4 linked regions of the Rhinolophus ferrumequinum genome follow. The protein of the gene in region 2 purifies or fractionates together with the protein of the main gene of each other region. This does not show direct contact. Links are inferred from orthologs where the notes say so. Each region holds a gene or a part of one and is shown on either strand. Other genes may lie near its edges. The genes, in order: PRR5L, RICTOR, FLNA and TUBB.

Region 1 (8,361 bases), on a different chromosome or scaffold from region 2:
CTTTTATGCACTTCTACAAAAAAAGATGCTCCTAGGTCATTATTCCACTAAGTTATACAAGGGGAGGGGCTGGGGTTTCAGGCAGAGCTCCCATTGGTGCACGGAGCTCCTCTCACACTGTACCTGAGAAGGTTCCTGACTCACCCTGGCACCAGCCCCTGCGTTACAACTGCAGCACAGGTCGGAATGTAACCTCTTTCCCTTTTTAACATTCTGCTCAGAAGGAAATTTTTACCAGCACAGAATAAAATCCGGCAGGCAAAAGCTCTCAGAACCCTGGTGGTGAAGGCCTAGAAGAGTGACGGTGAAGTGAATGAAAGTCAGAATCTTGACTGCCATTCCCTCTGCTGGTTGAACAATCTATCTTGAGTGACTTCCTTAAGCTTTCTGAGCTCCAGAGTCTTCTCCTTCGGCTGTACGTGGGTATTATCTTTCTCACAGGATTCTCCATGAAAACTAAATGAGATGCTGTATGCACAGCAGGACGGAAAAACGTTTTTAGTCTCAGGTTGTGCTGAAGCCACAAGACATTAGATGCCACATTCCAAAGGGAGTGTGACACCATCGTGAGAAGTTAAGAAAGAAAATGTTTTCCCCTTTATTGGACCACCTCCAACCCACAGGGAAGGTTGGACGAGGAAGATGGTGGGAGAGGAGAGGAGGAGTTTTGGAGTGACCACTAGACGTTCTGCAAGTTCCAACTTCCCGCTCCTTGCTCCCCAAGAGTGAGCTCAAAGGTTCTGTATCCCGGGAGCTTGGCCATCACCGAGGGCTGATGTCTGAATCATGCCTGAGAAACCCACAACACGGGGTGGCCAGCTGGAGTGAGAGGGAGTGGTGCCACTGGATTTGCCAGGGTAGTGGAAGATTTTCCACAAGCCAGAGGTGTGCAACAGGCAAACTTGTGGATCGTGTGGATCCTTTGGAGTGGGAATTCTTCCACAGAAAGACTCTGACTGCACAGCGATGGCTGATGTGTGGCCCCCGCCGCCCCCCGCCAACTTTGTATGTTGAAGCCTTAACATCCAGCACCTCAGGATGTGTCTGTGATTGGAGATAAGGTTTTAAAGAGGTGATATGTTCAAACGAGGCCATGAAGATGGGCTCTAGTTCAGTGTCCTTAGAAGAAGAGGAGATTTGGACCCACAAAAACACACCAGCCGTGCCCACGCAGAGCGAAAGACCATATGCGAACACAGGAAGAAGGCGCCACCTGTAAGCCAAGGCAGGGCTTGGGAAGAAACCAACCCTGCCTGCGTCCTGAGCTTGAACTTTTAGCTTCCAGAACTGTGAGAAAATACATGTGTGTTATTTAAGGCACCTAGTTGGTGATATTTGTTATGGCAGCTCTAGCAAACTAATATAGCACCGTTCAGATGCAGGGGGCCTGAGGGAAGAGTCTTAAGCAACCACCTTCAAGGGACTGGCAGTTCAGAAATCCCCAAAGATGAGGAAGGAAGGTATTCACTGAAGAATCCTCACAATTGTGCCAAGAGATAAAGAATCAGGTTTAAATACCCACCAGGCATAGCCAGTGAGATGCCAGCTTACGACAATATTTACCAAGTAAGAACTTCCCGCTCCCTTTCTTTCTCTGCTCTCTCTCCTCCGCTCCTCTCTCAGCCAAGGGTCAGAATCCTCAGTGAGCCAGATGGAAGCATAAAGTGGGAAGTGCGAGACTCACCACAGACTGCCTTTCCCAGCTCCAGGCGCTATGGAGGAGGAGGAGGAGTCTCCACTTGAAACAAAGTTTGAAGGTCTGGGTTATTCCACAGACCTGGAAATCACAGTTGCTGAACTGAGACAGTGTTGGAATGAGAAACACAGCCGGAAGAGTCAGGGACCAGCCTTAATTTTCATACTTGGGCAGTGAAAGAGTGTGGTTCCATTGAAAAACTGTAGGGGCAGTGATAGGTAAAAATAAAGTTGAACCTTATAAGTCCTGTTTATTTAACATATGTCCTCCTACATATGTGGCAACTTAGCGCAGTCTCTGTCCAAACAAACGATGGCATTCCTTGAGCAATTATTATCATTCCAAACTCCTTCCGGGTCACCATCGAGCAATTCCATCTTCTTTGAGCAAGACAAAAGCTAACGACAACAGACAAACCATTTAAGAGCAGCTGCATTCCTCAAGCTGCAACCCATGGTACAGATGTTCTCCGAAGCCAGAGACAAAACACCACCCTCCATCTCTAGTGAGCCAGACAAGGAGACGAACCGAAACCAGCCACGGGGCTGGGAGGACTTTAAATTCACATAAAGCCTGAGAGCCCTGAGCTCAAATCCTGGCGCTCACTTGACAGTTGTGTGACCCTGAGCAAGTTTCTTAACTTCTCTGTACTTCAAATTCCTCATCTACAAAATGGAGATAATAAAAGTACCCATCCAATATGGTTACTGTGTGAGATAAATGAGAAAATAGGTGGAAACACTTAGACTATTGCCTGGCAGAGGACTCAGTACTCATAATTATCACTATATATCGCAGCCTCTCAAAGTGAAGCCTTGTGATGAACTTGGTTTCTTGTGAAGAACCTTACACAAGGAGCATGGTGATGAAGAGCACAGATTCTTAAACCAGGCTGCCTGGGTTTGAATCAAGCAAGAATGGGAAGCACATTGTATAAGTGTTTCCTATACTTGCTATCGATATAGTAAGATACATAAGTAATATGTATACAGATACAGTACATATAGGAAGAGCTTAATGATAGCAGCTCTTATTAATGAAACAAGCATCTCAATACACGCACATGGGGCCTGAGGTTTCTGGTCACCAAAGGACATCAGAGGCATTGAATAGGGGTCAGACAGGCAGAGTGACCTCAGTTGCTTTTGTTTGTTTATTTGTTTAGCAGAAGGCAGTGGCTCTCAAGCACACAGAATATCTTAAACCCAGAAACCCATTCTCCTGGGGCGGGACCCTCAGCCATTGCCTCCACCCCCCTCCCTGCCAACAGCTCTCAGCCTCTCTCCTGTGTTACCTGATTTGTTTCCTTCTTCCAGGGCAGGTCCCACCTCGCAGGGGAGAGGTGAAGCCCCTCGACCTTCCAGCCTCCTGACAAGGTGACACTTCAACAGCCCCAGCTCTCTTTGGGTCTGGCTCTCCACTCAGTTCCCACTGATCCTTTTCCTAAGGACTGGCGGAAAAGATGACAAGCTGATATCCCTTCCCCCACCCCACGCAGGAAATAATTGTTTCGCCGATTCCAGAACTGACAAAACAAGTGTAACATTGGAGAAAGCAGAGGAAGGTGCCATTCAAGGCCATTGTTACAGCCTCCTCTCTGTGTATGAAGGGGAACAATGGGGCCCTGTGTGTGTGAGAACAATGCTGTGTGTTATCAGCCACTCCTGGGGACGGGAGGATGAGAAATGAGGCCACCATGCCCTCCTGGGTCTGAAGCGCTCTGGAGTGCGGGAGTCATAGCCACCAGGCCGGTCAGAGCTGGGAGAGGAACTTTGGACGCCCAGCCCATGGTGTTCTGCAATGGGAGCGGGGGACGCCTCCTCAGGCCTGTCCTCTCCCTCTCCCCTTCTCCAACCAGCTTTCAGAGACTCATTGAGAGTTAGAGCTGAAGAGAATCACAGATATCATTTCTCCAAACACGTATATCATCTACTCCAACTCTTGGCTTTAATGAGGGGGCACCTGGCTGGGACCAACGCCCAGCCATGCAGCATATTAGCAGCCGTTGGTCAGGCCAGACGAACTGTTACGTAGTAGCATCCATTGAAACCACATCACGGACCAGACACTATATTATGTATGAACAAACTCACACAATGACCTCATTTGCTCCTGCCTTCGAATCCTGGCTCTGCCACTAATTACCCATGGACTGTGAGCAAGTTTTTTCTGTGACCATTCATTTTCCCACCTGTAAATGGGGATTATTTGGGTTACTGTGAGTGTAAATGAGTTAAAACATGTAAAACTCTTAGAACAGTACTTGGCCCATAAAAATCACTCAAGAAGCATGAGTGACCAATGAGATGTCCACATTACCCCCGACAATTTGCTTAGACTCATGAGGAGATGGTGTGGAGAGGGCTGGAAACCCAGAACCCGAAATCCCCAAATTCAGCCTTGCTGCCCACTTTGGCGTAAGTTTACCCCCTTAGGTCCCTGAGGGAAGTGGCACTAACAAATACTCACAGGGAGAAGGCAGATGACAAATGTATGGAGAGGGTCAACTGCGGCACAACAGAGAGTTGTGAGGACATGAGGAATCTGAGAGCCCAAGCCAGTCTTCAGGGGTCAGCCAGGACTCAGTTCTAGCCACCTGCTGCAATGTGGAAAGACAGGAACAGCATGGCTAGGCCAGTTAATTTGTAAAAAAAAAAAAAAAAAGACAACCAGAAATTTGGATTTTTATGTCCCAATTTTTAAACACTGTGTTAACTCAAACATTATTGGTACAGAGTTAGCCCCAATCATGCAGCTTATGTTGCCTGATCTGGACACAGATGACATTTCCAAGCCAGTGTATGGCCCCAATTTGCCTGCAGTCTACCATGAGCGGATCAGGTCACTTCAAAGTCACACCTTGGCTTAGAGAAGGTAGCATAAGGCGAGAAGCACAGAGCAGCCCCTCATCCCTGGATGGCGCCTCATCTCAGTCCACGAATGGGAGTGAGGAAAAGGGAAACCAGGGAAATGCGGGGGACTCTCCCCGAAGGACCACAGGACCCATGGCCGAATCCGCCTCCTGCAGACATTCCTCTGATAAAGAAGGTAACCAGGACTTCAGTGCCCATACTCTTCATCAGTCTCTTTAAATGAACCTAAGTGACAAAATGTGCTTGCTATGCAAACGCAACTCCAAACCAAGATTGCTCAGAATGAGACACCACTTCACACCCGCTGCAATGGCTATAATCAAAAAGACATAATGATAAGTGTTGGTGAGGATATGGAGACATTAGAACCCGCATACAATGCTGATGGGAACGTAAAATGGTGTGACCACTTTGGGAAACATTCTGGCAGTTCCTCAAAATGTTAAACACAGAGTTACTATATGACCCAACAATTTAACTCCTGGGTACATACCCCAATAGAAATGAAAACATAAATTTACACAAAAACTCGTTCAAAAGTGTTCATAGTAGCATTCATTATTCATGATAGCCAGATATCCAGCCTATCAACAGATGAATGGATAAACAAAATGTGGTATAACCAAATAAAGGAAATTATTTATCAATCAAGAGGAATGAAGTACTGATACATGCTACAATGTGGACAGACCTTAAAAATACTAGGTTAAGTGGGATAAACCAATAAAAAGACCACATACCACACTATTCCATTTATATGAAGTGTCCAAAATGGACTAATCTACACAGACAGGAAAGTAGGTTAGTGGTTGCCTAGAGCTGGGGTGTGATGAAGAGAGTTGGGGAGATGCTAGCTAAAGGGTATGGTGATTCTTTCGGGGCTAGTAAGTATGTTCTAAAATTACTGTGGTGATGGTTACACAATTCTGTGAATATAGTAAAATCCATTGAATTGTACACTTTGGGTAAATTGTATATGTGAATTACATCTCAATAAAGCCATTACCGAAAAAGAACCCCCAAAACTTAGATTGCTGCCCTTAATCACCTTCTATTAAAAATTCTGCATCCATATTACTCTCTTCACATCAGCTCCACTTGAGAAGACAGGACAAGCATTCTACATGGATGTTTTTCCTCAAAGGCTCAGGGCTCATACGAGGGTGACTCACTGTGTGGTTTGCCCAGAGCTGTCTCACTATTAGCACTGAAAGTCCTGGATCCCAGGAAATCCCTTATTCCTAGGAAAACTGAGGTGGGAGGTGATTGGTCACCCTAGTGCAAATCTTTTCCCATAGCACAGGAAAGCTCTGCCCTTTAGTGCTGCCAGTGGCTAGAACGAAGTCACCAGATAAATAATCCTTCCTCTTTTGGGTATAAGTCTTCCTTGAGGTCCTTCTAATGATCAAAAGATATTTTAATTATTTTTGTTCCCATTTTACAGACGAGGAAACTAAGGTTCAGAGACATGAAATAACTTGCCAGAAGTACACAGGAGCCGAGAATTGAACCTGGGTTTTTCCAAAGCCCAAGTTACCGCTTGTACCCATCATTTTATCCTCACCATACCACTGGGTTGACTGTCCAGTAACACCCTTAGATTGCACTTGACCCCTGGGGAAGGTAGTCAGACATCCAGACAGAGGAAGTATGAATCTTTAGCTATGTGAAGACAAGGAGACATGTACAACTTGGTGGTTAATAGCATAGACTGTGGAGTCAGACTGCTCAAGTTTGAATATGGGCTCTGCCACTACTTAGCTGTGTGACCTGGGGCAAGTTACTTAACTTCCCTGTGACTCAGTTTTTCCATATGTAAAATGGGGAAATAATAGTTGTGTGTGTGTGTGTGTGTATGTGTGTGTTGTGTGTCACGTGGGATTGTTATGAGAGGTAAATAAATCAATAAATGTGTAAGAGGCTTAGAATGGAGGCTGGCAAGTAGCAAGTTTATTAAATAAATGAAAGAAAGCACAAATTCATACACCCAGTATTGAAAAGAAATCAGATTAGGCCTAAGAAAAACTGGGAAGGGGGACCAAATTATAGAAATGAACTCTAACATTCTGTTCTGTTCCTTCCCATAAAAGTGTTTATGTTTAGGAATTGCTGGAAGCTCCCTAGACTATAGGAAAACCTTTAAAAGCAACATGGTAGTGGCAACTTGGCAAGCCTTGCAAAAGTGGGATGACATGGTGCAGGCTTGAGGCCCGGCCTGGCAGACTGGAGCCCCAAGGGATCCTCTCATATAGCTGCCCCCGAGGGCAAAGAGAGCTGTATCCTCCCACTGGGGTTGCACCTAGTACTCAGCTCTACTTTCCAAAACAGGTGTGATCAACATCATTTTACAGAGGTACAAACAGGCTCAGAGAAGTTCAAGAATTTATTCAAGGTATGGCCAATAATGTATACGGTTAGGTTGAACTCTGAAGTCCCTCTGTTTTATTGCCTCCATGTATTAGTTATTATTGCTGCATAACAAATTGCCTCAAAACTTAGTAGCTTAAAACAACAAATATTTATAATCCTACAGTTTTGAAGTTCACACATCCAGGAGTGGCTTACCTGGGTGGTTCTGGCACAGACTCTCTCATGAGGTTATAGTCAAGATGTTGGCGAAGGTTACAGTCATCTCAAGGCTGTACCGGGGCTGGAGAATCTGCTTAAAGTCAGTAATGAGGTTTCTAGAAGACCTTAGTTTCTTGTTCAGTATGGATCAGAGGCTTCATTTCTTTGCCACATGGGCCTCTTCAGAGGACTGCACACAACATGGCAGCTTGCTTTCCCCAGAGCAAGACATTCAAGAAAAAGAGAGCAGGTACACTAGAGAGCACCAAGGAGCTGCAATCTTTTATAACTAATCCCGGTAGTGACATACCATCCTTCTGCCATCTGCTTTTGGTCACACAGACCAATCTTGGCACAATGTGCAAAAGGACTACGCAAGGATGTGAATACCTGGAGGCCGGGATCATTGGGGGCCATCTTGAAAGCTGGTGACGACACTGCTCATCTTTCTAAAGGAAGGCAAGAAAGCACAGTCCTGCAAATAATAAGGCACTGTCCCCACAAAAAAAGTCACAGAAATTAATCTTAGTCTGAGCACTTTGTGGATGTTGTTCAAAATCAATTCACTGGAAGCACTGGGCTGGCCCCTATGAATACAGGAAGGAGTTAAACCCAAAGCTTATAGTGGTTTATGGCAGAAAACAAGAATCAAGCCATGTGACTCCGTGGAGAAGAGACGAGGGAAAGGCTACACAAGAGAGGGGGACACAGGACTCCAGGACAATGTGGTTCTCAAATATTTTAGTTCAGGTACGGGTTCATCCTCAGACAACCTGGGTTTATTTTCCTGGGCTGGAACAACACCCTCACAGAAAATAGGAGAGAAGGGAGTAGATAGACGGCAGAGGAACAAACGTCCTTAGCAGTTTCCAATTTCTGGAATTTCACAATTAGACAGTCTTTCTTTAGCTTGAAATCATAACATGTTTTGAGACAAATTCTGCTAAGGAAGTGGGTTTAGGAAATGAAAGAGCCAAGCAGATACTAAAAGTGGATAAGAGAAATGCCAGAGGCTGTGGGCTTGGGGTGCAGAGGAGAGGTGGTTCCTTAAAAACCAAGTTCCAAGACTCTACCATTTCAGTCTGTTTTTAAGGTAGCACTTCTGAGCCCTGGGCAAATCAGATTCCTGTACTGCCCACCCAAAAGCAGTTGTCACATTCACTGTAACTACCTTGTTGAATAAATAAAACATTTCCATGAACCACCCCCGCTATAGGTGTAATA
Region 2 (7,845 bases):
TTTGAACAAATAGGCATTAAAGAAGCTTTGCTGAACAGTTAGATGGAAGCATAGATGTTTCTATAGTTGTCTGAGCTTATGGTATTAGCTAAATTCTGTTCAGTAATGAAATACACAAATAACTACTTTTTTTCTGTGCCACCAAAGTAAGGATGCATCAAAGAATGTGTATTGTTATCAGTGAACAGCTTCCTTAATAAAAGCAATGTTTTATGAAAAATCAACAAGCGGTTGCTATAAATGAAATTTAAATATTAGGGATTCACAGAAGAACAGAGATAGTGCCACATGTGATAGTTTCATATAATAAAGACCTTTAAAATACAGTTTAATTTTCACATACTTTGGAAAGAGAAGGAGAGTGACTATGAAAATCTTTTGTACCATACAGATGTTTGATACTTATTGAGTACCAAACTTTTTTTTTCATGACTGGTGGTTTACAGTGGCATGTTATCTATCAGATTTTTTAAAAATATTAAATCTAATCTTTCCCTTCAAAGTAAATGTGAAAACAATAACTAAGTTATTACTCATCAAAAGAAACTTGTGCTACAAAGAGAGCATTTAGGTATTTGAAAACATTTCCACAGTTTTGTGATTTTTGTGTGTGTGAAGACAATTAAAAATATAAACGTGTCACCTTTGTAATATTTACAAACTTAAAAATCTTGAAAACAGTGTTTTTTAACTGCTTAAAATCTTTAGACGAAGCGTTTTAAAACCATTTGCTAAAAATGTTTAAATATGCCTTCCAGTTGGCTTTGAAAACAGGTTGACATTAAGAGAGATATTTATTAGCCAAATTACATAAAAAACCTTTTTATAACTAAGGAATGGAATTGAAAAATGAGTGTTATGATTTAGAACTGCAGCCATTAGAGTAGTTCTACCGTTTTTAATTTGTATTTTGTGAGGTTTCAGCTACTAAATCCCAACATGTAAATAAACCTTTCTTAGAATTAGACTTTTGAGTTGCTGTATCTCAAAATTTTTAACAAGAACTTTAAAAAATAATGAAATATATTCAGCCCATTGCTTTTATTTGTGCCATAGCAACATAACATTAAAAATTACTTTTAACTATTTTTATTTCATGTTTATGTTTTATTTAATAAAAAAAGTAAATATACATGTATTGGAGTATGTGGACAATTTTTTTTTTTAATGAAGAGATGCACAATTTTCATAGGTCCATTACTTAACACATTATTATAATCAAATATATATAATGGTTGTTTAGGATCACCAACAGAATTTCTCTAAAATAGTTTCCTTAAAAAATACACAAGTGAAATTTTGTTTTAGAACAATTAAAATGAGAAAAAAAGTTAAAAATCACTCAAAATTCTACCAACCAGAGATAATCACTATTGAAATTTTAATGCATACCCTTCTCGATTTTTATGAATATATGTACCTTCTTTTTTACAAACATAGGCTTATTCTTCATTTAAAATTGTGTTCATAGAGGGCCTTTATACCTTACAGATTTTTTAAAAATGAAATTTAAAGGAGACTTTTGTAAGAGAGATTAAAATTTACAGGAACAACAAATACTAAAAGGCTACGTCCTGCTGTGACCAAAGCGGAATCTTTATAATCAGCCCTGTGTAGGATTATAACATTTGTTGAATTTAGCCCATTGCCTGTCATTTTAATGGCCTTTATCTAGATGTTAAATGTCTGATTTTACTATAAAGAGAAATTACCAGAAAAGAGACTGACCAAATATTGTGGTTTTTGACTTGCTTTATCTTCACATGGCCTATGGAAGAAGGCAGATAGATAAAGAGAAATAAAATTTTTGCAAGACTTTGTTTAATGTTACCACTGCATCTGAAACTGATAAAATTTTGTTTATAAACTAGAATTATTAACTGTGTATAATAGGATAGAAAAAAGAACCCAGAGTGTGACTATCAATGGAGACATTATATCTTCAGCTTCAGGATCCAGCAGTTATCTCTTAGAGGTGTGGTCCTGGACCCAATCTCATATAACCTTTTTTATCAATGACTAATACTATGAGAAGAAAAAAAAACATTCATTCACACAGCAAATGTAACCTAGTTAGGAAATGAAAAGTAAGAAGAGGAAGTCACATTCTCAGTGACCAGATTAGAATCAAAATGACCCGGAAAATTGGAGAAGTAGTAACAAGTAAACACAATGAGTAAGACTTGGGGTAGGCTAAAATAAGGAAGAAAAACAAGTTTCAAAAAGAGGAGTGGCTAGCAATTGGCTAGTATGGAAAATAAGTTAGAGATTTTAACAAATAAGCTGACTAGGATCAATAATGTAGTGCTGTTGTTTGAAAAGCAAACACAACATTGTGAAATGTATTCCTTACTAAAATTTACCTAAACTTCTGCTTCCTAGTTGAGTGTTATTTGCAAACACTAAGAACTTGTTCTTTTTACCAGAAATGCCATTCACCTTAAGAGCAAATGTGGAGAACACAGCCACTCAAATGACTGAGACGTAACAGAGGAAAAACTAGTTTCATTGTAAGATGGGAGAAAGTTGATTTCTTACTTCTGGAAGAGATGGATTAATTGAATAATGATCTTTAAATATGAACACACAGTTATAAAGAAGAAAGGCTATTGGATTCAGGCTCTCATGTACCTTTAGTAATTTAAAGGTGGGTCAATTGTTCTCAACTTTCATGAAAGACTAAATGAGAGAAGAAAGTGAAATTTTATTAGTAAGGAGTTAATTTAGAATAGACAGGGATAAGAAAAATAGTATAAAAAGTGTTGGTTGGAATTGGAACAATTTTAAGAATCTGGTAGACTTTCCATTGATAGATTTCTTCTTTTCTAAAATGGTGAAATGTGATGCAAGGAGAGATGAAATACAAAAATTTTCATGTCCTAGCCAGACCTCAAGTTTTGTGATGTCTGCCTTAGGCTGTCACTATAATCATTTGCACCAAGGCTTAAAAGCTAGAAAAGAGGTTGCAAATTTGTCACTGAAATTAGTATTGGTGATATCAGGAGATATTTTTAAAAATTACTCTAATTCTGTTGTATCCTTGAATCTAAGTGCATTATCAGCATGAGACATCTGATTGCAGACCCAGTAAGAAAAGCAGCTGGAATATACAAACAGAGTACATTTTAAAATTACAGACAAGTAAACAAGAACAAAAACTATATATGTAATTCCACCACTGAGGGAAAAAATAATCAGTTAACATTTTGATGAGACTTTTCTCTATTGTGTAACATAACAGATATGTAACATATTTTATAAAGTACTGTATACTTTTAATTTTATATTATTTTAAACATTTATGAAATGGGAAATTTGTGATCTCTCGCTTGATTTAATATCCAGAACATTATCTCCTATAAATATACTAGACCTGTATTGTCATTTTTAATGGCTGCAATAATTTGCATAATCTTTGGGTCAAGTGTTTCCAATTTTAGTATCTCCAATTTTTTTTTAAAGCATCAAGAGCTTTGGAATAAAGAAGGAATCCGAGCATTTACTCAACTAACTGATTATACGTATATTGAACATTTATTTGTCTGAACACTGCATTAACAGGAAGCTGGGAAAAGAAAAGTGGTTACGGCAAGCTCTCCAGTGTCAATTAACTTCCAGTCTCACGGAATAGAAAGACAAGAGTTGAGAAATAAGAGGCAACAAAACGCCCACCCTCTCTTTAAAGTTAATCTAGTTTAAGAAAAAGCTGCTGGGTCAGGGGCCAGGTGTATATACATTAATCAGCTAATGCAGTTTCTAGAATTCAACTCTCCAGAGTTAGCAATTGTCCACATTTATATTAGCCACTTTTGTAGGAGATATACAGACAGAAAACCCGGACACAGCCCTCCTCAGCCTGTCCTCCGTTCCAGGCAGAGAGGAAACCCTTTCCCCGAGCCTCCTGGCGTCCGTGCGGGCGCGGCACCAATCCCATCCGCTGCCCGGGACGACCACCCTGCACTCCAGCAAGACAAAACCCCCCACCAGACCACTTCCACTTTTACTAGTAGCACCCTGGCCGAGTGTGGCTTTGAAGATCAAATGCAAGGCTGCTTAGTTCGGTGGTCAGAGAGCGAGGGTGGAAAACAAACTTTGTTACGTGCGTCTTAACTTGGTGGGAGCAAAAGGACTCTAGGAAGGGAACTGAGTTATGTTAAAACTGCGCAGCGTTTTGTTTTCGTTTTTAATAAAAATCGCTTTAACTCCTGTATTAGGAAGGGGCGTGGGGCTGTCTATCTCAGAGCTTGAAAGCAAGCATGAGAATCATGCAGGATGGTTTTAGCAGGTGGTCAGCCGGCCACATCCCGGCCTCCTCCCAGCTCGCTCCGGTTTTGACTACGGTTCCCGCCGCGGCAGGAGGGGAAGCATCCTCCAGCTATAAACTCGTATCAATGGGATTCCCCTCGTGGGAAATGTCCCCTCCCAGCAGACGTGCTCCCAAGAAGGTCAGGCGCGCCGCCGCGCGCCCTCTCGTTCCCGAATGAGAGGACGCGCAATCGCAAGCTCCACCGAGACCCTGAGTCGGCACGGAGCTCGCTGCGCCCCGGGTGCGGAGTCGCCGCCGCCGCCCGCCGCCCGCCGCTGCGGAAGGGCGGGGGAGATGCTGCTGGGGGCGGGTGAGGCGCGCGGGGAGGGGAAGGGGTTCTCGCGCGATTGGGCGAGGTTTCCGGTGTTGTGACTGAAACCCGTCAATATGGCGGCGATCGGCCGCGGCCGCTCGCTGAAGAATCTCCGAATACGAGGTAAGCTCGCTGCAGCCCTCATCCCCACTGCTTGGCGCCCGCCACCCCTGGCACTTGCCTCCCCCTGGCTCTGGGCGGAGGGAGCAAGCGGGGCTCTGGCCGGAGCCAGGTCTGCCGCCGCTGGCCTGCCCTCGAATCCTAATTGGGTCTGTGTGTCTATTTCACGCAGGGCGGAATGACAGCGGCGAGGAGAACGTCCCGCTGGATCTGACCCGAGGTAACGCGGGGCGCCGCTGGCCCCGGGGAGGGCGCGCTGCTGGGAAGGAGCGGGGTCTGGGGGCCGGGGACAGGGGCGGGCTGCGCACGGGACCGGTGGGGGTGCGGGAGCCAGAGCCCTAGCCGGGGGCCGCCTCCCAGGACCCATCCCCCTTCCCAGTGCCTGCTTCCCTCGCCCGGAGCTCTTCTCCGGGCCTCTGGGTGCTGTGGGTGCCGGGGAACACCGAGCGGGACTCGGCGCGGCCGGCGACCCTCTGGATTCCCTGGACCCCCAAGGAAACGCTTTACTCTTATCCCGGAGCTTGTGCAGCCAAATCCTGGGGGCGGCCGGAGGGAGGTAGAGGCTGTTATTTAGGTTGCCGGAGGATGTCGGGGAAGAGCGACCACATCCTGCCTTCCCCGTCCCCCAGAGCAGAAGCCGGACCTGCTCGGTTCTGGCTGACTGCGTGAAATGTTGTCTCTTTGCCCACCTCCCTGGGGGACCCGTAACATTGATAACTCAGTAGTGAAACCTAGAGCGGGTGAATACTGCTAAGTGTCTGATCTACGCTGTGTTTCCCTCCTGTTTCCCTTTCCCGGGCGGCTGGGATTGTAGTTGGCAAAGACCGCCCCCTCACCCTCGCTGCAGGTTCATTGTTTACCTTCTGCAGTGGCGCTGGGTTTGTTTACACCTTCGAAAATGGGTAAATCCCGCTTATATTTTTAAATATCTAATTCGGCTACTGGCCAGTATATCTTCTCAGTCATCGTACTGGAGTTTATTCGACAATATCTCTCTGAAGATTTAGTAGTTGTGTACAGGGTTTTTCTTTTCTCTTCCACGGTAAACAGGATTTGGTCTACTGATTCCGAAGAAGTCATATTTCACACCAGCCTTAGCTTAGAATACAACCTGGTTCAGCCGTACAGAATCAATTTCCTTTTTGAGACTCGAAAAACACATTAGGCAGTTTTAAAAAAAATGGTTGTAAATATTCTATATAAAATTAAAAAAATTTTTTAACCTATGTTGTATTTGTCATATTGACCATTATCTATCTACAGTGTTAGATGCAGGCTCATTGTTGAGGCTCATCTCTGTATTTAAACCATAGTGCGCGTTCTCTAATTTGTATATCATAATGTAAAATTACCATTTAATAAACTAAAAGGCTAGTTTTCCTTTAGCTACCAGAGTACATTTTTGTAGCAGTTGTTTATTTTGAAAGTTCAGGGCCTTAGTTTCGGGCGAAGTATGTTCTTTTACTGGCGGAAGAATTTCTAAAATACAATAAGGCTTAAGTATAGAAATGGCAACGAATTAGATCATTAATGGTATAAATTGGAACATTTTTTTCAGCAGATAGCGTTTGAATATTAGTGTAGAAAGATGTAAAGCTTTTGACTTTTGTGTAATATTTTGGAAACTTGACTATATATAACATACATTATGAACATGAAATGTACATGAAATATATTAATATATGGGAAAAGATTTTCTAGTAAATTTCCTAACAGAATTCCCACAAGGCCCAAAATTAGCATTTGAGTTCTGTAACAAATGTAGTTTATTAGTGATTTAATTTATATATGAGAATACATGTTTTAGATGAAAGTGAAAGAGCATTTAATAGATAGATCTTGAGTCTAATTTCTGCATTAAAGACCTGCTTGGATGTGGTGCTAGAAATAAGTTACAGTTTGTTGATGTCAAAATTTTGGATTGTGAAAGAGCTATGTACAGTACAAATTTGATGTGATGCCTTTGGTTTACTCCAATTTTCCTCAAGTACACAGATAACTCTGTATGTTTACTATATAAAATGCAATATTCCCTGAGCATTTAGTAAACACCTATCTATATGTCCATAGGCATTTCTAGGCAATACAGAAAGTACAGAAAAATGGTATTTCTACTTTCTCTGACAAAATATACTTCAGTTTGGAATGAAATACACACAACCAATTGAAACTGATTGCAAAAACAATATACAACTAAGAGTGAGAGGTTATATGAGAACTGTATTCCTAAATGCTAAGGAAGTTTAGAAATAAAAGTAATATGAGTTAGATTCATTATATAGTGATGCTATTGTTTAAGAAATTGCTATTCTGACAAACATTTCATTGTTAAAAGAAGGCTTGTGGATCTAACATGAAGAAAAGTTCATGAGGAATTAAACTTTAGTAATAATTTGAGAACTGGGGGGCAGTCTGGGTTGCAGCTGAAGGGCAGCTGTTTGTGGATTGGATTACAGTATGTTTTAGATAAAGTTTAGGTAACCAAAAATAATATATATTTTTTAATGGTAAGGCAATGTTTGCTCTCATCCTAATTTCTTTTAATGCAACATTTGAGAAATTCATTGTGTAGGTTATTTAGCAAAGTTCATTATAAAATGGAGGTCATGGTCATCGTAATTCCTTTAGGAAAAGAACAAATTGTAAAGTCAAATAGTTCTGGGTTGTAATTCAGCTGTGATACTTAATAGTTAGGTGATTTGGGGCAAGTTATTTGACCTTGCTTAACTCTTGGTTTCTTCATCTCAAAAAAACGAGGTGGGTAGGTGGGGATAGAGAGGGAGAGAACAAGAACGAACTTCAAAAGATTATTAAGAATGTGAAAAGTAAGTGAGCTAGTGCTTAATGGAAGTACTCAGCATAGGACCTGACATTCTGTGAGTGATGTTAATAAAATGCTACTTGCCTTCCTACACTATGAAATCAAAATAATTTATACCACATTTAAAATATTTCAAATGATTGTTTTGAATATTATACACTTGTTAATAAAGAGTTATGGTATTAAAGTTTTCATTTTTTTGAGGCATACTATTAAATTGGATATAGTTTGTTGAAAGTATAGTTCTTGAATATAGCAATTGTAAAAAAGTAATGGGAGATTAAC
Region 3 (7,397 bases), on a different chromosome or scaffold from region 2:
TGACAGGGGAGCGGGGCGGGGCCGCAGAGTCCAAACGTCACCGGCTGGCGAGTTCGGGCGTGAAGCGAGGAGGGACACGGCCGTGCGAGTGGAACTGGCAGGAACCGGCCAGAACGTGGGAGCGGGGCGGGGCCGCGGTGCTTGGAGTGGCTCGCCCTCCTTAAGTTACGTGGGCTCCGCCCGGTCCCTTCAAGCCACCACAGCCCCCATCCCCCAACCTCCAGGGCTCCAACGTTTGGTGTTCCCCGGCCGCCCCGGCAGCAGCGGGAAGGGGCCCGATCCTAAGGGCGAGCCCTTGGACAGCGCGGGTCCCTGGCCAGGCGCTGCTGCCAGCTCTTTGAGCGCGTGCGCCACACTAGGGAAGTGGCCCCGCAGAGCCCGGAACCTAGGACGACCCTCAGGCCGACCCTCAGACCTCCTGCCTCAGGACGGCCTTTCTGCTCTGCTTGGCCCTGGCCTGTGCACCTGCACCCTCGGTCCCCACAGCTTCCCCCGCTACCTGCTCCACCCAGGAGGAAATGGGGCACTGGGCCAGGAGGCCGCCAGCACTCCAGGAGCAAGCAGCCTTGGCAGGGGCCGGCCCGTGCCAATGGGCACTGGCAGAGAGTGCCGTGTGATGCATGCAGAGACAGCGAGTGTCCGCCTGGGGTTGCCGTCCACCTGGGGCACTGGGGGTTTCCTCTCCAGTCTGAATGGCCCCTGAGCACAGCGTGACCCCAGGAGATGGCCAGGCGTGGTCCCTTCCAGACCCAGAGTGGCCTGCTCGGGGGTTCCAGTAAGACTTGGCAGGCTCTGAGCCCCTGGGTCTGGGTGGGCTGCAGTGCCTTGGCAGTGCAGAGTCCCTCCCCACCAGGACCGACCGGAGGGCCAGAGGACCGAGGGGGGCAAACCACAGAAGGCTGCGAAGGCCTGCTGAAGAGCCTGGACGGTCACTAGGAGTTGGTAAGGGCCTTGGTCAGTAAAGAGCTGTCCAGTGGAGATTGGAAAGGAGGTGACATGTTGTAAACAAAGACAGCCAATGGAGTGTGTGGCCAGCTGAGATGCCCCTCCCTGGGCAGGCCCAGAACTGGGAGAATGGGGAGATGAGGTGCTGTCCCTGGTCTTATAGATGATAGCTGGTGACAGGGAAAGCAGAAGTAAGGAGGGCTCTGGTTCAGACCCAGGCTGGCTGAGCCAGCTGGTGAGGGTCACAGACCAGTTCTCCATGGAGGTTTGATTATGGGGTAGAGAAGAGGCAGCCATCCAGGGAGTGGTGAGGAGGTGGGGCTGTGGTTTGGGAACACACAAAGACTCTCAGAAGAGTTGCTGTTGTCTGGGTTGTTAGAGGAAAGGTGAGGTCTGCTCTGTCCCCTAAAATATGAGGAGGAAGTATGTAGGTCACAGACACGTGCATGCATGGCTTCAGAGCAGGGAGGGAAATGGCGTTGGGGTCTGGGCCACTCGAGGCTGCCTCATGGAATTTTGAGTTTTGGCAAGATCGGATTCCCCAGCACCTCTCCAAGCCTTCTTCTGCAATGCTGGCCCATGTCCCAGCGGCTCAGTCCTCCCCCATGCCACCCCTCCCTGTACACATCTAAGCTGTTTCCTTATGAGGTCAAGGAATTCTAGGTTTGCCTTCTCCCCAAGGAACACCCCCTCCCTGGCACCTGCCTCGGCACTCTGCTTTTTATGTCCCACGCCAGTTGTCCCAATATGAGGTCCCACCATCGATGGCACCAGGAGGCTGAACTGTGATGGTCCCCTGCGTTCACCCCATGGCTACCTGGCACCCACGACCAGCCCCGCTGCAGCACAGACCCATCCCAGACCACCAGGAACCAGGACGAACCCTTGACCATCAGAGCTGAGAGTCCCTCTGCAGCACCCCCATCAGGAAGAGGAGGAATTGGGGGGCCAGAGAGGGAGGATACTTGTCCAAGGGCCCTGAGTACTGCAATTCATTCATGGACTGTTCCCTCAGCCAGTACCGGATCCTCAGGTCAATAATCTGGACAGTCTGGCACAGCAGGGGTTCCAAGTCCTCAGCGGGGCTTTGGGGAAAATCTGAGGCCTCCAGGGGAGTCTTCCTGGGAAGGGTGGGCAGAGTTAAAGAAGCTGAGTTTCTGTGGTACTGCAGCCAGGGTGGAAAGGGCTAGGAAGCCGCCGACTCCAAATCAAGAGTAAGATAGTTTCTCCTTTAAGGACAGAGGGGATGGCTTCTAAGCACTATATTGTATAACTTGCAATCCCAGCCAGATTGAAAGTTATAAGGAAAAAGAATATCAACCTGAATATATTTCTCAGCATCCATGTCCAAGGAGATGATTGTTCACTGAGTTATTAATGTTTTCTGTAAGATCAGAATCTTCTTATACTTTAGTACTAAACTTCTCTTCAAGGATGTTAGAGATCCTTTGGATTTTACCTGGTATGTGAATGCTTTGAAACATTGCTCAGGTAGTAACAAAAGTCATAAGATGATGATTATTGTGAAAATGTATGTGTGGATGATTGTCACAATCAACATAAAACACTGAATAGTTAGCTGACCTAAAGTCTCTCAAAGAATGCCTCATGTTCCAACCCTAGAAGCATCGGTTCATGTGGGAGCCGTTGGCACAGCCAGTTGGAGAGTGAGCCTGCCTTGGCAGCAGCAATAGAGCTGATTCTAGTGGTTTTCCAAAACCTTCAACACAAGGAGAAAAAGTCTTTCATTTATGACGGTTATTACCAGGGAACAGTTGGTGCTGTACAAACCTTCGTTCCCCCTATACCTGGAAGAAGGAGAGACCAAGAGCTGTGTGTATTTCAGGGGTGTGTGTGGAGGGCGAGAGAGGCAGTAGTGGGAAGAGAGGATTCACATGGAGGTGGGGCGTCCTGAGATCCAGGCACGTGGCCCGCCTCCTTCGTGTCCCCCAGCTCTTGTACACATGGCAATGCCTGTGGTAGGTGGGTTTCCCTCCTTGAAGGATAGCCTTGGCCATGAGCTCCAGCACAGCCACCTTATGGACCTGAACTCAGGTCGCTCCTCTATCAAGTGATGGTAACCCACCATCCTCTTCAGCTGTGGTGGTGGGCGGGTCCCACCAGAGGGAGCAGTGAGAGTTGGAAATCCGGACACTGCTAGGAGATCCCACCATGGGTCAAGGTGGAAAGGTCAAAGCAGAGCTACCACTAGCAAAGGCAGGAGTGGCTGTAGGGAAGCTTGGAGGGTGATCAGCGCCTTCCTGTTACTGGTAAACTGTAGATCGCCAAATTCTTTTAGCAGGTGTGACCAAGCTTCTTCCTTCCATTTTTATTTCTTTCCTTCCTTCCTTCTTCCCTCGCCCTCTCTTTTAATGGAGTAGAATGGAAAATATCAAAGAGCTTTGCAGGTACTAAGGGAGAGTCTTGTTTTGTGAAATGTTTGTTTTAATTATTTGTGTTTGTGTGTGCGCATGCACATGTTTTATGTGGCCTTCTTCGGAAGTGACATTTGAGCTGAATCTGAAACTACCAGGAAATGGGCAGAAGAGGAAGAGGGAGCCTGGCAGTGCCAGGGCATGTCTGTGCCACCCGGCTCACAAACACTTGGCTCTTTGGCTGCACCTCACTGTACACTCTCAGGCTTTGGGACTGCATCTGATTGTGCGCCTAGGAATTCACCACTGTTCTGCTGCCCCCTCCCTGGACTGGCACCAGGCAGGGGCCAAATCAGTGGCAGCCAGGCTGCTTGTTCATCACCGTGGACTCAGGTCCCTGCCCCACTGGGGCCTTGTGGGTGGTAAGTGCTCAGTGAAACACACCTGCAAAGATCTGTTGTCCCCACCACCCCAGAGGGCAGAATCTGATTTGACTGGCCAGCCCAGGCTTGGGGCAAAGGTAGGGGCAGTGACTGTGGGTGGCTCCCTGGAGGAGGTGGCCTTTCCAGCTGGGTTGAGACGTGAGCCCTGCAGACCCCACGGGCACTTGAGGCAACCTCCCCCCATCACCCCGGCAGCCTTCACCGGGTGGTGAGCTCATCGGGGGTGGGGGGTGGGGGGTGGGGAGCGTCACCAAGCAGCCGGGGCGCTGAGCTCACGGCGCGCCCCCGCCCCCCGGCCACTGGGCGATTTTACCAATTAAGGCTTTTTCGCCCAGCAGGGCGCGGGGCGGGCGCGGGGCGGGCGCGGGGCGGGGGTGCGGCCAACAAGAAGGCGGGCAGCGGCGGCCCATTCGCGTGGAGGCGCGCGGCGCGCAGCGGACGCCAGCGGAGCCCAGAGGCGCCGGGCGCGGGCGCAAAGGCGAGCGGGGCGCCACCCTGCGGTTGTGGGCCGCCCACAGGGACAGCAGGTGAGGCAGGCCTCCGCGGCCCGGGTCCGCGCGAGACGGTCACCGCGCTACTCGCGGACCCGGGGCGGGGGTGGCGAAGGCGAGCGGAGAAGTCCCGAGAATGTAGGCGCCGGCGGGCACGCAGGCCCAAGCCAGGTGCAGCTGGGGTGCGTGAGCGCAGTGGAGGAGCCCCCTGCGCCTGGAAGTGCTGTGTCCAGGGGTTCCCTTCCCTAGTGTACCTGTGAAGCTGTGTCTGTACCCAGGAGTGTGGGAGCCCTAGGCCATGGGGATTCCTGAGAGAGGGTGTCTGAGCTTTTGGCAGGATATGGGCTCGCATGGATGCTCGTGAGCTGGCCACTGACTGACTGGGAAGGACTGTCTTTGGAGCAGGACATAGTGTGGGCTGAGGGTGAGTGGCTACCTGGAAGGACACTTTGCAGCCAGTGTTGGGTTCTTCGCTGGCACCAGTCCTTGGCATCAGCTGCCTTGGGCACAGGGGAGCTGGTTCTGGGGCTGCTCTACTCCATGGGGGCCAGGACAGGGCTGTGGCCAGGCACAGGAAGCAGCGTCTCCTTGGACGGGCTAGATTCCTGGGCTGAGCCCTGGGCCCTGTCCCAGGTTGGCTCTGAGCTGGATGTTCACCACCAGCCAGGATGTGAGCTGCAATGTGCCCAGATTCTCATGCTACCCGGCTCCAGGAAAAGTAGGCAAAGTCTGTTGGCAGGCCCACGTGCATGTGCTCCAGGCTGCAAGGTCAAGGTGGGAGCTCAGGAAATGAGTGTCCTCACCTGCCACACCTGGACTTGCCTTGGCGGCCCAGGTCTCTTCTCACCGTGCCATTTTGAGGCTTGCTTCACCAGCTGACGTGCCCCTGTGGGAGGGTCTGGCCTGGGGTCTGAGGGCCAGCTGTGGGGTGGGGGGCGGGGTATGTTTAACATCCAAGAATCTACTCCAAATAAGGGAAAATATGAAAGAGCTGGATTTAGGCTCCCAAGGATTGACTGCCTGATCTGGGGGCTCTGGGATGGGGCGCCATCTGGTGGTAATACTATGTCCCCTAGGGACAAGAGCCCTCTACACCCCTATCACTTGTCTCCCCCAAATAGGGGAAGCCGAGGGCTGGAAGCCAGGACACCCAGCTCTGTCTCCCTTTCTGCTGGAGTTGACTACTGGTCAGTTACTGACTCAGTTTCCCTGCTCTCTGAAGATTAAGGAATGAACACCGATGACCCAGTGGGATGGCACTTAGTATTATAAAAAGAAAATCAATTCTTGATGTAATGCTGTCCTGGGACACATGCTTTCCAGTCGGGCAGGGGGAGCAGAAGGACCACTCAGCCCGTCTTGAATGGGGCCTGGCAGAGAGGGGTCCATCCGGGTTCCCCCTTCACAGCTCTCCTTCCCACCTCCACCCCAGTTCCTAGACACTGTGGTATGGGGTTTTGTGCAGGTATGGTTGAAAGTGGTCAGGAGAGGGGAGAGTGCACAGGTGGGCCTCAGATTGGAAAGTGTTATTTGGAGTCCCTACCACCACCATTGGTGAGGAAAAACCAGTGGGGTGACAGGCAGCCTGAAGCGAGTGTGCTGGAGGGCAGGGGAGATGCCAGCTGGGACCACCGTGGGTAATGCTGACCCTGAGTCATGCACGAGTCAACCAGCCATATTTGGACATGACATGCTGGCTGAACCAGGGCTTTCTGTCCCACTGGTCTTTAGCAGATGATAACTTAATTGCTACTAGTCTGCAGCTCAATCTAAGAATCAAGCAGGAGGGACAGAGACTTAAAGAAAGGAGCATCCTGGAGAGGGGGGGTACACAGAACTGGGAGGAGTGATTCCACTCTGGGGATGAAGCCATGGTTAGGCTGGCTTCTCTTGGTTGGAGGGTGTCAGTGTGTCCCCAACAGGCCTCTTGCTGGTCTCCAGTTCCCTACAGCAGCCTCCCCACTGTCTCCAGAGTTATCTACCAGAAAATTAATTTTGAGCAAATAGTTCCCTGTTGCCCTCTGGACACAGTCCAGGTTTTTCAGCAGGCCTTGGCAGCCTTCTGTGGTTTGCCCCCCTCGGTCCTCTGGCCCTCCGGTCGGTCCTGGTGGGGAGGGACTCTGCACTGCTAAGGCACTGCAGCCCACCCAGACCCAGGGGCTCAGAGCCTGCCAAGTCTTACTGGAACCCCCGAGCAGGCCACTCTGGGTCTGGAAGGGACCACGCCTGGCCATCTCCTGGGGTCACGCTGTGCTCAGGGGCCATTCAGACTGGAGAGGAAACCCCCAGTGCCCCAGGTGGACGGCAACCCCAGGCGGACACTCGCTGTCTCTGCATGCATCACACGGCACTCTCTGCCAGTGCCCATTGGCACGGGCCGGCCCCTGCCAAGGCTGCTTGCTCCTGGAGTGCTGGCGGCCTCCTGGCCCAGTGCCCCATTTCCTCCTGGGTGGAGGAGGGAGGAGGGGAAGCGGTGCGAACGGGAGGATGCAGGTGCACAGGCCAGGGCCAAGCAGAGCAGAAAGGCCGTCCTGGGGCAGGAGGTCTGGGGATCGGCCTGAAGGTTGGCCTAGGGTCCGGGCTCTGCGGGGCCACTTCCCTAGTGTGGCGCACGCGCTCAAAGACCTCGCAGCAGCACTGTCCAAGGGCTCGCCCTTAGGATCTGGCCCCTTCCCGCTGCTGCTGGGGCGGCCGGCTGGGGTGTGGCCGGGGAACCCCAGGCGCTGGAGCCCAGGGGGAGCGGGAGTGGCGGGGGCCTGTGGGTTCTGGGCGGAGCCCCCGTGACTCAGGGAGGGTGAGCCACGCCACCCCACGCAGGGGCCTTGGGGAAGGAAAGTCCCTTGTATGGCGTGCTCACTGGAAGACCAAGTGGTCCAGCGCCAGATGCTGCTCATCCTTTCCTTGCTGCAGCATTTTCTGCAGCGCTGGCGTGAGGCTGCGGGGCTTGGTTTTGTCCTAGACCCCTTCAGTGCCCAATGACTGTCCCCAGAGCCCGGGAGTCGGGTCAAAACCGAGTGGGCAGGGGGGCTTTGGGGGGCATTCCAACGGGTGGGGCGGGGCGCTCCCCCCCCCCGCCCTGAAACCCCACCCACAACCCCGCCCCACCATAGCCCCGCCCCTGCCCGCATTTAAAGGGCTCGCTT
Region 4 (7,788 bases), on a different chromosome or scaffold from region 2:
ACTGTCTCAGAAGGGGCTGGGAGCGCAAGGCTCATAATACCAGCATGGGCCAGGGAGCTGTGTCCTACACAACTAGACTGAGAAATAACGGCTTGAACCAGCGTGGGGGGGAGGTGGAAGAAGGGGGAGAAATAATAAATGAATAAATAAAAATAAATAAAAGCTTCTTACAACCCTCCAACTACCTCCCCACAGACCAGTACTTCAGTACCCAAATACTGCCTGACCTTTTTCTGGTCCGTGGGCACTACTAAAAATATGCAGTCGTCCTAAGGGCTCCAAGATACACCCCAAGGATTCACTGGGCCTCTCTGTCTCTTCCTCTTCTTCAGCCTCCCAGTTAATAGCCTGAGTGTCCTCCATGATCTGGGAAGGAAACACATTAGCAGCATCATAATCTCTAACATAGGTTCACACACACAGTCTCGGAGAGGAAACTCACAACTGGGGGCAAACCTGGATAGCTATGGAAGTTGAAGCTTCGCTTTATGCCAAGCATTCTGTTGTTAACCATCTGAAGCACTGAAAAAATATTTTGATCATGACACAGAATAAGAAATAAATTTTATCAGGTTCCAAGTTCACAACTAGATGCTCCTCGACTTACAATGTAGTTACATCCCAATAAACCCATAGTAAGTTGAAAATATCCTATGTAAAAAATGCATTTAATACACCTAACCTACTGAACATCATAGCTAAGCCTAGCTTACCTTTTATGTACTCAGAACATACATCAGACTACACTTGAGCAAAATCATCTAATGCAAAGCCTATTTTATAACAAAGTGTTGAGTATCTCATGTAATTTATTATGTGTATCACTTTTGCCATATTGTAAAGTCCCAAAATCCTAAGCCAAACAATTGTAACTTGGAGAATCTCTGTATATGCAAACACACAAACTTATTTATATAGACAAATGTTTTCAGAAACAATGGTTAGCCTTATTATATGCAATACACAGCTAGTTTTCATGTTATTCTATTTTTTTTCTATTCTATTTTTAAATGTCGATTTGCAACTCACTAAATTGATTTAATATCCACTACTGGGTTGCCACTCACAGTTTGAAAAACACCATGTTAAAGGGAGCTAAATTTTGCCAAACATTATGTTATGGTCAAGTATAGTAGCCATACAAGGCAGGAATTTAGGAAACTAAGGCTAAAAATATTAAGTATTTGCTCAGGATGACATATCAGGTAAGTGGAAAGGCAGGAATAAATGTGCTCTGGCTGCAAAGCCCATGCTTTTTACATTTTATCGGACTATCTCAATGTGATCAGATCAACTGACTCATTTAATAATCACAAGAACCCCGTAAAGTATTATTTATCTTCTATATCTCAGATAAAAAAACTGCAACACAGTTGGATTAAGAAACTTGCCCAAGATCACCCAGATTATGTCTCTCCTCTGTTTAATATTCTTTGACACCTTTCCAGGCCCATTGTATAAAACAAAATCTAAACTCCTTAGCAAGAGCCTCCACAATCTGAACCTCATGTCCTGCAATGTATTCCCTGCCCACCAAAACCGACAAGTTCAGCCACATGGACCTTCTCCCCAATCTTTGAACACACTGTCCCTATTGTCCCCCATATCTGCGTGCCTTAAACCAATTCCTTGGCCGGTTGCTCGTAGCTTTCTGGTCCAACTCCTACCCATCCTTTCCGATTCAGTTCAAACCTCCCTTCCTCAGTAAAGCCTTTCCTGGAGTCTTCTCTGCTTACTGGTGTTCCTGATGTATTCACATGTTCCACGGTGGTCAATGGACTTGCACATATCCTGACACTTCTTACTATATTATTACATAACCATTACTTTCTATTTCTGCTTTCACCCGCCCCCCCCAACCCCTCTCGGAGAACTGGACCATCAAAACTGTTTTTTTCCCTAGGGTCCATCATATTCTCTCAACAGCAGTTATTCTGCACCCGGAACCGTTACAAGTATTAGGGATATACATTCATGAACCAAACATAAAACTAACCCTGCCCTCCAGGATGTTACACCATAGAGTCTACTGATGAAAGAACCAATGAAAGCAGATGAAAACTCAAAATAGCAAGAGTGGAATTCACTTAGAGATGCCACCCTAGGGCGAAACCGTTGACAGGGAAAGTAGGACGCCTCCAGTGGAGACTCAGCGGATACCTACGACCCTCGGCTCCAATCCAATAGGCCAACCCCTTTGATCCCCACCGGGGTGGGTTCCCTCCAGGCCCAGCGGTCTCCCAGTGACTTCATACCTAAACTCAGGGCGGGGAGTCAATTAAGGATGAGTATTATAATCCGAAAAGAAAATTTCCTAGTCTCCTCCGCCCAGTCGTACCCAAGGCACGCCCCTCCCGCCCTCCGGGAGAACCAAGATGGCACCCGGGGAGCGGCGGGAGAGGCCCCCAACAACTCACCTACTTTGAGTCCCCGCGCGCGCCACCAATAACGGTCGCGAACCGAGGGGCGCGAGCGCTGTAGTCGGAGCCTATTCGGTGATTGGTTCCGGCTGCTGTCTTTCACAGCCCTGCTGCAAGCCGATTGACGAAGCCCCCAATGCGGAGGCAAGTCAAAGCCCCGCCTCCTGCCCGCCCACTTCCGGCTCAAAGGGCTGGCTTTCCCCGGGAGACTGAGATCGGTTGAGAGGCGGAGGTCGCGTGCGCGCTCAGAATAGCGCACCTCGATTGGGCAGCTCCAAGGGACCGCCCACTACCGCTTCACCGCCCACCGCCCCCTTCCCGCGCAGACATCCAAGCCACGACCAGAGAGTCTCCCTGCCGGTAGCGCCTAGAGGGGCTTTCCATAGTCGTCGCCCGGCGCATCTAGTGCGGCCAGAACGCCCTTCCTAGGTCTTCCCAGACATGGTGGCTGCTGACTCATAAATGAAAATGGGTTGCGGGTTGCAGTCGTGGCCTGAGGCTGCAATTTGGAGAACAGCCTTCAGGCGTGGCGCCTGAGGACTTCTCACTGCGATAGAAGTTCATTTCCTTTTGATTTGGCCCGTTTAGTAAAGTCATGTCATTTCCTCCCTGAGAATACAGCCCTGATAGACTTTTGAGGTCATTTTCCTAAAACAAAGATCCCTAGGCCAAAAGTGAACCGTTTTGCTAACCATCTTAAAGGCTGATCGAGTTCTTCCAAGAACTGAAGAAAGGATGATAAAATCATTTATTTAATTATCTCATACTAAGACAAGAGGATGGTAACAATTTTGACGTGTATGTAATCTAGAAAGTCCTTTTGCTTTCGTTACTCCATTCTGACCACAACAATCAAATAGGCAGAAGTAGATTTTACAGAGGGAAGTGAAGTTCTGCGAAGTTAAATGACCTAGCTAAGTTCCTACAGCTAAGGTAAGGTAGAGACAAATTAAAACAATTTTAAATTCCGATTTTAAATTCTGAACTCTCTCCACTACCACAAAATAACTACTTTCATTGTGATCATGCCCTAAAACATAAAACATTCTGTTATAAGTGGATAGAGGGGTCATACACAACTTGATGTTCTTTAAAAGATGACTGAGAGATGTGTTGAATTTAATGTGAATTAATGATGACCTTGATATCACATGTCGTCTGTTACAGTACTTACCACACTTTATTGTGTATACACTTCTCACCAGATTGCAAGATCTTGGAAGCCAGGAACTAATTCATAATCATTTTTTGTATCCCTAGCTTCTGGTTTGGTGGACACTTAGTATCTATCAAGTGAGTTAATCCCTGAGAAGCATGTCACTCTGATTTGAGCCTATCCAATTTTTCTTCCATGAATCCCCCCCCCCCCCCGCCATTTTAAAATTTCAATTCTGAGGCTCTTGAAAGGTTGCAATGGTCAGTCAATGAAATCAACAAATTGAGAAACCACTCACTTCATCAAAGTGTCTAAGGGCAGGCTGGAAAGACTCTGAAATTCTATCAGGTGTTTCACCCCATAATTCTTTTTGACAAGACCACAGTCTTCAACGCTGCTCCAAGAACCAGATCTCTTACATGGACGGAGACTTCCCGCTTCACAGATCCCAAGATATCAGCTTCTCTAAACCATTCCATTTATTCTTTGAACATACCCTCCAATTACATCTCTATCCTGCAAAGCCCCTGTTGCAATTATCATTAGAAAACATTCTAAACATTATCATTAGAAAACTCCCAAGGAAATAGCAGGAAGGCAATCCCCTCCTTCTTCCTGGGATAGCTGGGGAAGCAGCGGCTTAGTGAAGCTCATGCTTTCGGTCACCAAAGGGCCAGTAGTTAGATAGCAGAGCAGGGTGCCCGTTTCTCACCATTTTTCGCTGAGCTAAGCAGTCCTGTCTTCCCAAGAGCGACCACAGCGGGGAGCTTTCAGGGTGTGCCCACTCCACCGTCCAATGCCTGGCACCCTAGGGTTCCTAATTCCTGTAGATCCCAAACGACTCGCTTTTTGCATTAAAAAAACAAAACAAAAAACAACTCAGGCATAGAGGAAAGTCATCTTGGGCAAGGTCATTTTTCAAAAAAACGCCAAAAACCTAAAGCCAGTGTCCACCCATTTGTCCCTTCATTTTGCAGCGTGGACAACAATAGAGGACTACAACTCCCAGAGAAGACTGCGCTCGCCCAGAGCAGAGACCAATGGACATAGACTACCTAAACGGCATCGACTAATCAGGGCCTGCCTCGCGGAGGCTTTGTCTCGCAAGTGCTGCGCGGGAGCCTTCTCCCGCCTCCCAGCCCGGCGCACGCGCGCCCCGCCCTGCCCGCCTTCCCTCCAGCGCCCTGCCCTCTTCTTTCTCCCTCTCAGAACCTTCCTGCCGTCGCGTTCGGACCTAGCTGCTCCAACCTCCGGGGCGCGTCCCATCCTTCCAGCCTGCGACCAGCAACAGAGAAAAAAAATTACATATTTTCTTGCCCCGTACACACCTTGAGGCGAGCAAAAAAAAAAAAAAATTAAATTTGAACCATGAGGGAAATCGTGCACATCCAGGCCGGCCAGTGTGGCAACCAGATCGGTGCTAAGGTAAAGATTTTAAACCTTTTTTAACTCTTACTTCTTTTTGAGAAGAAAAAAGTACAAATTATGGAGAATGGTTGTGGGCTGTTTGCAGTCTCCATCCTTAGTCAATATTTGCCCCAAAGAAGTTTTATATGTATAACACATATTTGTAGCTATAATTTGCATTTGAAAAATGGAGAATTATTTTTCTTGACACTCATTTTGGGAAGCTATCAAAAGCACCCTTGAGGATTGGGGGGCGGGAAGACCGAGGTTCTGTAAGGTTTTACTTAAAGGAGATCTAACGGTCCGAGGGCCAGGGAGGGAGGGAGATGCGGAAACTCGCCGAGACAAAGCAAGGCGAGGTTCCCCCATGTGCATCCAACCCCCTTGGCGGGTCTTCGTAGGGCCAAGCCCGAGGGCGAAGAGGGGAGGTTGGGGGTGGAGAGCTGCAGTGCCCGGCTCCATAAAGGTGGGGGACGTGGTGCTGTAGGGTGGGCTGCACTGCGCGTTACCTCTACAAAAGAGTAGATAGAGATCTCCACGCGCCCACGATCCCCGTGGGGCAGGCCCATAGTTTTTCGTGGGTGGAAGGCTAATATGTGCTGGATTCATTTTGCTTCCTTTATTTCGCTTTAAAGAGACCCTTTCGGGCTTGGACAGATAAGAAAGAGGGCGGGAGAAGGGTTTTTTTTCTCTAAAGGGTCTCTCGGGACTAAATGGAAAGAAGAGGATCCTCATTTTAAGCAAGAGGGGAAAGCTAGTGAAGGGATAAAATTCCGAGACCAAGAGGGGATTTTTTTTTTTTTTTTTTTTTTTTTTGCGCGCGGGTACAGTGTAGCCGGGAGGAAGTGCGGCTGCTACGTTGTAGCAGAAGGGCAGGGCCCTGCAGGGCGGGGACTGTGGCCCTGCCGGCCACCAGGTGGCGCGCTAGCCCGAGCCAGGTCCCGCCCCTCGCGCGCTGAATTCGCGCTTCGGCTCCGCCCACGCGCGACCCCTCCCTTTGTCGATGGCTGGGCGCGCGCTTTTGCTACAGTCTTGTGGGCGGCTGGCGGTGGGCGACTGCGGCCCCTGGTTACCCCGGCTCTTTGTGCGCGGCGTGGAGGGGCGGTGCCCAGCGTGGGGGGCGAGGGGTACACTTACCTAATCAGGTTGGCTGCCTCGGCCTAGCCGGGTGTCTGCGATCTCCAGGCCTTTCCAGCTGGACATCATTTCACATTCCAAGCAGTGAAAGCTGCAGCTTTCCCAGGTGTGGGGGTGCCTAGGGGAATGGCGTGGCTGGCAGTTAGGTGGAGGCAGGGTCATAATCGGCTGGGACCTGAGACGTTGACGGTTCATTGTTCTTTCTCCACAGTTCTGGGAGGTGATCAGTGATGAACATGGCATCGACCCCACTGGCACTTACCACGGCGACAGTGACCTGCAGCTGGATCGCATCTCCGTGTATTACAATGAAGCCACAGGTGAGGGAAGGAGCTCCGGTCTCATCTCCTTTCCCACTTCTGGGGTCTCCACCCTTTGGACGAATCCATCCTCTCCCTTTGGAGATCTTCCTCTCTCTGATTCCCACCACCCATTGCCAAAGGCTAGCTCTGCTGCCACCTGGTGGCAGCGCCTGGAATCACAAGTTTAGGTCCCTAGCTGTCACCCAGCCCCAGTTTATTTACCTTCTAGGTACTAATTTTCCCGGCTATACATTCTTACACGTAGGTGGAAAGTATGTTCCTCGTGCGATCTTGGTGGATCTAGAACCCGGGACCATGGACTCTGTTCGCTCAGGTCCTTTTGGCCAGATCTTCAGACCAGACAACTTTGTTTTTGGTGAGTTACACAGATATTTGTAGATACCATATTCAATTTATTTGTGTGCAAGGGGACAGCAAGAGTTAGGAAATGATTGTTGTGCTTGAGAGTTTTTATAGGGCTGTGTTCTGGGATGTAATGGAGGGTGGGGGTGTGGCTGCCTTAGATGGTAAATTATGGGGGTGATATATCACTGGTGAGGGAGGAAAGTAGATCGATCCACAGGCATTGTTCCAAAAACTGAAAGGTGGAAACGTGGTTGTGTATGTGCCACATTTTACTAATCAAGCTTGCCTCCTGATTCCAGGTCAATCTGGGGCAGGCAACAACTGGGCCAAGGGCCACTATACAGAGGGGGCCGAGCTGGTTGACTCGGTCCTGGACGTGGTGCGGAAGGAGGCTGAGAGCTGTGACTGCCTGCAGGGCTTCCAGCTGACCCACTCGCTGGGGGGCGGCACGGGGTCCGGGATGGGCACACTGCTCATCAGCAAGATCCGGGAAGAGTATCCCGACCGCATCATGAACACCTTCAGCGTGGTGCCGTCGCCCAAGGTGTCCGACACGGTGGTGGAGCCCTACAACGCCACCCTCTCCGTCCACCAGCTGGTAGAGAACACTGATGAGACCTACTGCATTGACAACGAGGCCCTTTATGACATCTGCTTCCGCACCCTCAAGCTGACCACACCAACCTATGGGGACCTGAACCACCTCGTCTCAGCCACCATGAGCGGGGTCACCACCTGCCTCCGCTTCCCTGGCCAGCTCAATGCTGACCTCCGCAAGCTTGCAGTCAACATGGTGCCCTTCCCACGCCTCCACTTCTTCATGCCTGGCTTTGCCCCTCTAACCAGCCGTGGAAGCCAGCAGTATCGGGCCCTCACTGTGCCCGAACTCACCCAGCAGGTATTCGATGCCAAGAACATGATGGCCGCCTGTGACCCCCGCCACGGCCGCTACCTGACTGTGGCTGCCGTGTTCCGGGGCCGCATGTCCATGAAGGAGGTG

The links.
Region 1: the proteins of RICTOR (region 2) and PRR5L purify together in Homo sapiens (affinity purification with western blotting; 3 studies listed by BioGRID and IntAct, with this or other methods). This does not show direct contact. The link is inferred for Rhinolophus ferrumequinum from reciprocal best matches to the Homo sapiens genes RICTOR and PRR5L.
Region 3: the proteins of RICTOR (region 2) and FLNA purify together in Homo sapiens (affinity purification with mass spectrometry; 3 studies listed by BioGRID and IntAct, with this or other methods). This does not show direct contact. The link is inferred for Rhinolophus ferrumequinum from reciprocal best matches to the Homo sapiens genes RICTOR and FLNA.
Region 4: the proteins of RICTOR (region 2) and TUBB purify together in Homo sapiens (affinity purification with mass spectrometry; 3 studies listed by BioGRID and IntAct, with this or other methods). This does not show direct contact. The link is inferred for Rhinolophus ferrumequinum from reciprocal best matches to the Homo sapiens genes RICTOR and TUBB.

The regions. Positions count from the first base shown.
Region 1 is NC_046294.1:22,048,263-22,056,623, forward strand, and holds the start of PRR5L (proline-rich protein 5-like), read right to left. Parts: upstream 3,140-8,361; 5' UTR 2,991-3,139; intron 1-2,990. UniProt on the Homo sapiens protein: Associates with the mTORC2 complex that regulates cellular processes including survival and organization of the cytoskeleton.
Region 2 is NC_046290.1:25,886,460-25,894,304, reverse strand, and holds the start of RICTOR (rapamycin-insensitive companion of mTOR), read left to right. Parts: upstream 1-4,651; 5' UTR 4,652-4,693; coding exon 4,694-4,742; intron 4,743-4,911; coding exon 4,912-4,959; intron 4,960-7,845. UniProt on the Homo sapiens protein: Component of the mechanistic target of rapamycin complex 2 (mTORC2), which transduces signals from growth factors to pathways involved in proliferation, cytoskeletal organization, lipogenesis and anabolic output.
Region 3 is NC_046284.1:6,248,913-6,256,309, forward strand, and holds the start of FLNA (filamin-A), read left to right. Parts: upstream 1-4,147; 5' UTR 4,148-4,290; intron 4,291-7,397. UniProt on the Homo sapiens protein: Promotes orthogonal branching of actin filaments and links actin filaments to membrane glycoproteins. Anchors various transmembrane proteins to the actin cytoskeleton and serves as a scaffold for a wide range of cytoplasmic signaling proteins.
Region 4 is NC_046286.1:1,311,262-1,319,049, forward strand, and holds the start of TUBB (tubulin beta chain), read left to right. Parts: upstream 1-4,759; 5' UTR 4,760-4,944; coding exon 4,945-5,001; intron 5,002-6,331; coding exon 6,332-6,440; intron 6,441-6,687; coding exon 6,688-6,798; intron 6,799-7,087; coding exon 7,088-7,788. UniProt on the Homo sapiens protein: Tubulin is the major constituent of microtubules, a cylinder consisting of laterally associated linear protofilaments composed of alpha- and beta-tubulin heterodimers.